Bombyx mori: one gene and its partner. The protein of the gene in region 2 interacts with the protein of the main gene of each other region in a pairwise test. Links are inferred from orthologs where the notes say so. Each region holds a gene or a part of one and is shown on either strand. Other genes may lie near its edges. The genes, in order: RING-box protein 2 and Ck2b.

The links.
Region 1: the proteins of Ck2b (region 2) and RING-box protein 2 interact in a two-hybrid assay, tested with the Homo sapiens proteins (2 studies listed by BioGRID). The link is inferred for Bombyx mori from reciprocal best matches to the Homo sapiens genes CSNK2B and RNF7.

The regions. Positions count from the first base shown.
Region 1 is NC_085111.1:9,083,656-9,088,210, reverse strand, and holds the start of RING-box protein 2, read right to left. Parts: upstream 2,898-4,555; 5' UTR 2,169-2,897; coding exon 2,015-2,168; intron 1,397-2,014; exon of another isoform or gene 161-1,396; coding exon of another isoform or gene 1-160. Other genes in the region: facilitated trehalose transporter Tret1, read left to right, coding at 1-160; uncharacterized protein LOC101738136, read right to left, coding at 3,856-3,992, 4,188-4,378. UniProt on the Homo sapiens protein: Catalytic component of multiple cullin-5-RING E3 ubiquitin-protein ligase complexes (ECS complexes), which mediate the ubiquitination and subsequent proteasomal degradation of target proteins.
Region 2 is NC_085121.1:1,778,249-1,782,824, forward strand, and holds the start of Ck2b (casein kinase 2 beta subunit), read right to left. Parts: upstream 2,891-4,576; 5' UTR 2,855-2,890; exon of another isoform or gene 2,727-2,854; intron 2,605-2,726; exon of another isoform or gene 2,604-2,604; 5' UTR 2,601-2,603; coding exon 2,529-2,600; intron 2,456-2,528; coding exon 2,353-2,455; intron 2,119-2,352; coding exon 2,019-2,118; intron 1-2,018. UniProt on the Homo sapiens protein: Regulatory subunit of casein kinase II/CK2.

The DNA of each region.
Region 1 (4,555 bases), on a different chromosome or scaffold from region 2:
TTGTTTTGTAGGCTTATTCTTTGTTATTGTTTGCGTACCAGAAACGAGAGGCAAAAGCCTTGATCAAATTGAAAATAAAATAACCGGTAGAGAAGAGAAACCCAGAACTCGTCGACTAAGCTCGATAGCAAACATTAAGCCTTTGCCAAACGGATGCTAAGAAGATGTTTTAAGCATTTATTAATTGAATAAAATTAGCTTTAAAGTAGCAATTAATAACTTTTACTATATTCTTTTCACAATTTTTAGGCAGTAAAAACGTTGTGTAGAAAAAGATTTCTATAAAAAAATCTTATATCTAATAGTACAATGGTATCATACTTAGTTGTTGTAACTGGTTCTATTGGTAGGTAGACTTTACGAGGATTATAATTTATGACATGAATGCCAAAGTATTTTAGTAGTTTTTATTGGGAAATTATTACATTTAGTAACTATTTATAATGATTTTATTTTGTAGTTTGTATCATACACTACTTCATGTAAAATACTAAGCTTTTTGGCAATCTTATAACAGAGTTTAATCTATGCCGTAAAGTTAAAATCATAAGTTACTTATTTAGTTTGGTGGTAGGACCTCTTGTGAGTCCGCACGGGTAGGTACCACCGCCCCGCCTATTTCTGCCGTGAAGCAGTAATGCGTTTCGGTTTGAAGGGTGGGGCAGCCGTTGTGACTATACTGAGACCTTAGAACTATATCTCAAGGTGTGTGGCGCATCTACGTTGTAGATGTCTATGGGCTCCAGTAACCACTTAACATCAGGTGGGCTGTGAGCTCGTCCACACATCTAAGCAATAAAAAAAAAAAAAAATAGTTACTTATATTAGTTGTAATAAAAAATGTTTTTTTTAAACTTTAATATGAAAATAAATGGTAAGATCTAAAGAATAAATTTCACTTAATGGAAAGAGAGTCACATCCTTAAATTATAATTCGAACCATTACAATTCACAGAATCATTACATTGAAGGCACTGTACTAATCTCTTTTAATCGAATTGTGCCTATGAATAGAGTTATATGTACCTGCAATTTCAAATTTTAGAACTAACTAAGAAAACAATAGTTAACTATTATTTTTACGAAACAAGGGGGGCCAGACCACATGGAATCTATATTGTACAGCTTTCAAACATATTGATTTGTCGGTCCAATGACTATTATTATTTATTTGTTTAATTTGACAAGCACACATATTGATATGAATTGTAAGTGTAACTATGTTTCCATTCATGAAAGTTAGTAAACAGTTCAAGTTAAGAGGAGACATATTGGTAATGTTCAAAAGTATATAGCCCACCCAGAACCAGGACATGACCCAGGACCTAGGTGTTATTATGTTATATTATGTTGTATTAAGAGAGAATTATTAGAATTAAAGAAAGTATGATCAATCGATTCTGCTTTTACTACGGCAAAATAATATTTATGTTTAAGTCAGTATTCTTTACAATTCTTTAACAGATTGATGGATTAATAAACAGGATTATTTCAATGTAATATAATGAAATTTAAACTAAAATGCCTTAATTATGGCCTTAAATTTAAAGCGTAATTAAATAGTTTGAGAATAATTCACACGCACACAACATTTTTAATTTTGAAAATCCAAATATATAACATTGATAGAACAATATTACTACTGTTTTGTTTAATATATTAGTAATTATATTCTATCCCTAAATAATGTAATCATTTTAAAAAAAGTAATGACTCTCAATGCTAATTGGCAACATTCATCTTAACTTAAAATAAAAATAAAATACTTTTAAGAAAACATACTTAGTGCTCAAAATCTAGTTCTAATTATGATCGGCACAGCACACTAAATATTACTTGTAATATGATTATAGTAGGGTAGTAATATTTTCTTTAATAGTTCTATATATTCTAATCTGGAAAATAACTGTCATCTTGTCCAAGCAATTAATTTGTTAAATAAATTTGACTCACTATCACTTTGATGAATATCTATGAATTGATTCATAAACAACATAAATAATTAAAAACTTACCCATTACTTGCACGCGGCAAATAGCGCAAGTATCACATTCAACATCCCAACTCCACATTGCAACAGCATTCCATTTTTTCAATGTGAACATTTTATCGGATTTTGGACCATCGTTATCCCCACGGTCCATACCATCACAGTCTTCACCGGACATAATGTATGCGTTTTAATGTTTATGGTAAATATTTAAGGTAACTATTGAAAATTAAATGCGTACATTTACAATGCTCGACTTGTTTACTATTTTTAAAAACATAATCAGGTGAGATTTTGAAGTGGCAGTGACAGCTTTGACAGACTGACTTTTCTAATTGTTGCGGTAAAAGGAAATAGCCTATACTGATAAAGATTTAATTTAAAGAGTAATCTTCGACGTAATGTTCGTATAAACTCTGAATTACATCCACGCAATTAATGAATGAATAATCATCCCATGAGTTTTTTAATCCGGGGAATATTGGCTTAAAGTTAACAAAAAGAAACTAGATGGCGTTGGTGGGTTAATTCATAACATTAGTGTAACAGCAACCGTAAACGTATTTTACAGATGTACCCTGTGCGTCAGTTGAACTGCATGACATATTGGACTGTTTAGGACTGACTCGGAGGTACAGTACCTAGCGGCCTTGATTGTTGCGCCGAGGGTTATGTGTTAGATTCCCACATCGAGCAAACATTGCGTGATGAACAGTTTGTTTGCTCTTTGTTTGGGTGTTTATTATCTATATACATATGTATATATTTGAACGTATATAAGTATGTTAGTAGTCTCTGGTACCCGTAACACAGGGAATCCTAAATTGGGGCCGGATGACCGTGCTTAATTAAAAATAAAAAGGTTTAAAAAGCGTTAGATCAAATTTGATAAATAAATAGTCTAAATCGCAATACCTTCTTTTTTTTGCGCGTCGTAGGCAGAACGCCAGCCAGATGGTCAGATCTGGTTGGTGGTAGTCTATATCATGCGGTCCATGCCACCCATGATCAAACACTGTGGATGAAAATCACATGTGGTCGCGATCCTCAGCGGTGAGAGAACGATGAAAAAGAAGATGGAAATTAATTCCAATCGATTAATGTCTCATTTCGCTTCATATAATTTTTCATATTACGACACAATGTTATAAGATAACATTAATACAATACTTGGTTTACGATACGATAGCTTTACGATAGTTTGGCCTCAAATTTGAAAACGACCCAGATCGTCTTGTGGAATTTCACCCTGCCTATTTCTCTAACGAAGTAATAAACATAATAAGTGCATTATCTATGACGAAGTAGTAGGTAATGCCTTCCGGTTTCATGAATGGGGCCATTGATTTAGTGATGTGTTTGTACTTCGGTTCCGGTGGTAGATTCTGCGAAGCATAGTTCTTGCTACGGTCAGTGTTAGCACACTCAAGTTGAGCCCCGCGAGCTCACCTACCAAATAACTCAGAACTAATAACATATATAGAATAAAAAATAATACAAAGGCTATTTGTTACAGTAGATTTTATTTATAAAAAAACACGAAAATTGCTTAAAGTCTACGTTTATACTTAATGTATTATATATGGAAACTATATTTTGTATAAAATAAGTACAATAAACCCTGTTATATCTGGTTTTTATAATATGTATATATTATAATATTTAATGTTTTATACTCAATAGGCTCCGCCACGCTTTTTGTACAATCTTATTGTAAATTGGAAATCTTAAACTACACGTGTATGAAACAAAATACGATATTCAAAATGAACGATAACTTATAGATTTGTTTTGTGTTAAAAGTAGGTTGGTACTATTACTATCGGTAGGAAAAAATAACGCTTCTCCAAATTTAATACCCGCAGTTAGAATATTGCGAGATACAAAGAAGTCAGAATAATTGCGAGGCTGGCTCCTAGACTTGATGCTCCACTAAAACACCCCAGGTCTTCAATTTGGACTTGATATCTAATGTTGTATGGGAATCTGCATACCGAAGCATCTAGAATTAAAAAACAGTCCATTAGGAATGACCATTTCTTTATGTGAAATTTGTTAAAAAAGGTGTAAGAGGAAAAAACATATAATTTGAATGAATCTCTTATTAGTCAATACTTACTAGGTACTCAATTAAAAAGTGACATAACTATTATTAATATTAGTAAAATACCCATATAATTTTGGATGTAAATCATACCTGTGCAAATCGCGCTTGTGGCATCAACACCACCAGTTTCTGATTGTACGGAAATGTGTAGTGGTGGACATGATCCTATGGTCCAAAAACTGTCGCAAGCATTCTGCAGCCTTATTTCAATATTTCCGGTGGAAGCCAAATTCTCACAAGTTATTGCGCTTGGATCAAGTCCTACTATTGTTGTGTTGCGTCTGGAAGTCAAAGAATTTTTAAAGGCATCTCGAATAATACCATCCTTTTCCCGTGGCAACAGCGTTTTTAGACTATTTCTAAAGCGATCGTCTACTGGCATTTACTGGTGCAAGAACGAATTTGTGAGCCCGCACGATTTGGTACCACAATTACATTTACAAGTTTAATATTTACTT
Region 2 (4,576 bases):
GCTTGGTTCTATCCCGTCCCGGGCCCGACCTGGTGACTGGAGCCCGTACGGGAGCAGGACGAGCGGCCAAAGCACCCGACACCGCCGGCCGCCTAGCGTCAGCCGAGGTAGGGACTTTCGCCTCGAGAGCCGCCAACCTGCCGCCCAGCCTTTCTATTACAGCCTGGATGGTGCGGCTGATGACCTCTTCCAGGCTGAAGTTTGTTGGTTGTAGCGGAGCCAACATCCGTGGCCCCGCGAGTGCTTGCTGTCGCTCGGCAGCGGTCGTCTCCCTAGAGCGCGGCGACGGGAGACGCGGCCTCTGCTGTGCCACACGCGGTGGCGGCAGCACAGGCCATCGGTCGCCAGTCAGCGCCGGGGGACGGGGACCTCGAGGGGCTCCAGCGACCCAAGGCGTCGCTGCGCCATCATTGGGCTGCTGCTGTGCTTGAAGCTGTGCTCGAAGCCTCGAATTCTCCGCCCTCAGCTGCACTACCTGGTCATTGGCAGAAGCAACCGAAGGCAGAACCTTCGAGACTTGCGAGACCACTTCTCGCAGTTTACGGCCAGCGGCTTTGGTCTTGGTGCCGTTGGCCGCATAGGTTTTGATGGTCTTCATGGCCCTGTCTATGACCAAGGCAGGGTCCTGAAGGCCACCCTCTTCCTCCTCCGTCGTCTGCCCGTCCAGTGAGGCGACAGACATCGACACTGATGATGGCGCCGGTGACGGCGCGCCCCTTCTACGGGCGGGTCTTCCTTTAGGGGGCGGCATCTCCTCTGCAGCAGATGCCGCATCGGAGACTACCAGCACTTTCTCCGGCGGGGCATCCGCACCAGAGGACGATGCTGGCTCCCCTACCCCCTCACGAGAGGAAACTCGCCAGGATTTCCTCTTCCGCCTGATCTTCTTGGCGGCTGTCCCTTTCGGATCAACTGTTTCGCCGTCGCTGACGAGCGCAGAACGCGTCGAGCCAGCGCTGGCACACCTCGGTTCGACGGGTTTTCCGCTGCCCGTCGCACAGCCCCCTTCATCATGGCATTCTTTGCCCCCCCCAGAATACGCGGGGCAGCGTGCTCCCACCGAGGTGAAAGCACGGAGGGATTCTCCACCTAAGGTGGTACCCTCCTGGGGTAATTTTTGTTTTAAGTTTGCCATCATTATATTTGTTCCTTTTTATTTAACCAGGGGTCGGTCCCCTGGGACGGTCCTCACGACTGGACTCCCTCCAGCCACTCATCTCATCACCGGACACGTCACAAGCTTAAGATTAGGGCATTTTTTATAGAGGTTCGCATCCTCGCGGCCCCTGCTAGGCAGCGGCCCCCGCCTCCTACTCGGTAGGGATTACGGTATGCTTCTACGAAGCCACGCCGGTAAACCGGTACCCCCCTCTGGAGGGCCTTCCCCTGTAGCCACCAAGAGGCAGCCGGGGACATGACGACCAGCGACCGGAAGGGAGTGCCCTCCGGTTCACTTCTCATCCACGTGGGTCTACCATTACTGACAGACCCACACGTCTGACCACGTTGTGGCCACGCCGGCGTACCGGTACCCCCCTCTGGAGGGCCTTCCCCTTTAACAGCCAGAGAACCGCCGGGGACATGGCCTAGCATACAAGAGGCTCCAGAAGGGAGCCCTCTTCGCTCTTCACGCACCCTTTGCTTAGCAAAGGTGGGAAAAGGGAACACGGTGTGCAGTCTTCTTAGTTCACGCCACCCCTGTGCAGACAACGCTGCTCCACGGTATCGGGGTGCACGCTTAAGCCCCACCGCCACGACAAGGCGAGACCACGTTGTGTGGGGACAACAATAACCCTAGTCGGTTATATGACTGTGGCATTGGAAATGTAGTGTAGCTTAAGTTAAGTTATTATCTTGGGATATAAAAAAAAATATTTAAATATTTAGTAAAGACCCCTTTTGAGTACTCATTACTATTATTTATCATTGATGCACTTAATTTTTTTTATAATTTGTTTTATCATACTACATTAAAAGTATTAAAGACAATAATTAACATACAATGTAATGCAACTCACCTATTGGTCAATATGTACCGGGCATGTATCAATCCATATAGTATCTCCGATGCTTGTTCCACCAGATCAGATTCATTTGGATTGTCTTCAATGTCATCATCTGAAACATTTAGATTTAATGAACATTTACAATACAACATTCTCATTTATGATGATTCTGATGAATGCAGAATTTCATAAATGAGAATCATGTAGAAACATACAGTTCTTTGTTTTAGAGAAATCTATTTAAATAATGGCATGCAACAAAATGTCTGCAACTTTCATTTTATATTTGATTTTCAATAGTACTTTACAATTAAGTTGAGAAGGAAAATTATTGTTAACTGATCACCTGGCTCCAGATCCAGAATCATGTCCAGCGCCTCTCTATAATGTGGAACTTGCTCATTTAAGCCGGTTAGATTAAATTTATCATTTATGTAGTCTTCGTCAACCTGCACAAGATATAATATTATGACGATCAATAAGGTAACATTTTATTACAGCGATCGAATAGTCGAGACTCACCTCACAGAAAAACTCATTGCCTCGAAGCGTGCAAAACCAAGCGATCCAGGATACCTCCTCGGAGCTGCTCATTTTTCTAATAAAACAATCATATTAAATTAGGTATGTGGGACGAAAGAATCACATAAATACAATCAAAACTTCAGACCCGCCACACGTTGCTGTTACAACAAATTTTATGCATTCCTATGTTATCACCTGTTATTTTATGTCTTCAAAGCTGTTTTTCACAATTTCACAGTAAATTAACGAATTTGGCAAAGATTTAATGTGTTTTTTTTCGCAGTAATCATGGAATATTGAGATAAAATGACGACAAACCTCACCTTTTCGTGCCTTGATTAGCCACGCTTGACGGGAGGATACACCTCTTGGAAAGAGGGAGAGAGAAATTGCAAATTTCAGTGTGTGCGTACGGAATATGAATAGAATGATTTTGTCGATGCTCTAGTCTATGATCTGAGAAAAATATTAATCTCTATATTTTCATGTCCACAGTCAAATTTTTTCCTCGAATGGTCGGTGTTTCACATCTATATACTATATAGTAAGTAAAAGCTGCTATATGATTAAGTAATATGAAAATTTCGTGGTGTATGACCTTTTTTCATAGAAGTGTAAAAGGACCGAATCCCGTGAACTGCAATATTTTATTTATTGATGTTTGATATTAATGGAGGTATGTAACAGTTTAATATTTGTGACAGTTTAAAACTAACTTGTAGACGTTGCAGAAATGGCACAAAAGAGCTGCACTTAAGTAATCACTGAGGTTCTAGTAAAAATTCCAGTAATGTGTTACTGTTAAACTCCTATGTTAAATATTAATATTGTAATAAATTTTAATGAAGAATAAAACTTTCCTAGCGTTTTGTTTCGTCGTAGGCTACCATTTAATAGTGACGTCTGTGTAGGAAAGAATCCGTTTCCACCGTGCGACTATTTATTTTCGGTACATGATTATTCCAAAAGTTCAAATTCGGGGATAACAATTCTATAGCAGTGCTACAATAATAAAAAAATGGAACATACTTAATTAAATGCGCTCCGCTGGAATGGTCAACTGGGTAATAGTATTGTTATCAACCTCGACATAGCTGTGCAGGTGCTGCTTGAGGTCTTAAATTAGTATATTATCTATGCTTGTATCGTCCACCTGCAGAGAACGAGCTGTACCGTGTTTATTCTGCCGTGAATGTCATGCATTTCACCGGTCATCGTTCTCGTCGAACCCGTCACTTGCGACGAAGGGCTCGAGTAAGTTAACCCACAGACACAGCCTACTGAGTTTCTCGCCGGATCTTCTCAGTGGGTCGCGTTTCCGATCCGGTGGTAGATTTTGCGAAGCACGGCTCTTGCTAGGGTTCGTGTTAGCAACGTCGTCAGGTTTGATCCCCATGAGCTCACCTACTAATTATAGTTACGCTGAAATAGCCTATCAAGGCTATCCGCTTAGGTAGGAAAAAAAAATGCGTTTCAATATGAGGAAAACGCCAGCTGTACACGGTCGTCGAAACACCACGAGACAGGTCGAGGACGAGTGTGTAGAGTAAGATCCTAGGGCCAGCAGACGTCACGTATTTTCTGACGAACGAAATGTGGCCGATCGCGTAGTGTTAGTTTTTTTTTTTTAGATGGGTGGACGTGCTTACAGCCCACCTGGTGTTAAGTGGTTACTGGAGCCCATAGACATCGACAACGTAAATGCGCCACCCACCTTAAGATATAAGTTCTAAGGTCTCAGTATAGTGACAACGGCTGCCCCACCCTTCAAGCCGAAACGCATTACTGCTTCACGGCAGAAATAGGCGGGGTGGTGGTACCTACCCGTGCGGACTCCCAAGAGGTCCGACCGCCAGTGATTACGCAAATTATAATTTTGCGGGTTTGATTTTTATTACACGATGTTATTCCTTCACCGTGGAAGTCAATCGTGAACATTTGTTGAGTACGTATTTCATTAGAAAAATTGGTACCCGCCTGCGGGATTTCAACACCGGTGCATCGCTACACACGAATGCACCGGACGTCTTATCCTTTAGGTCACG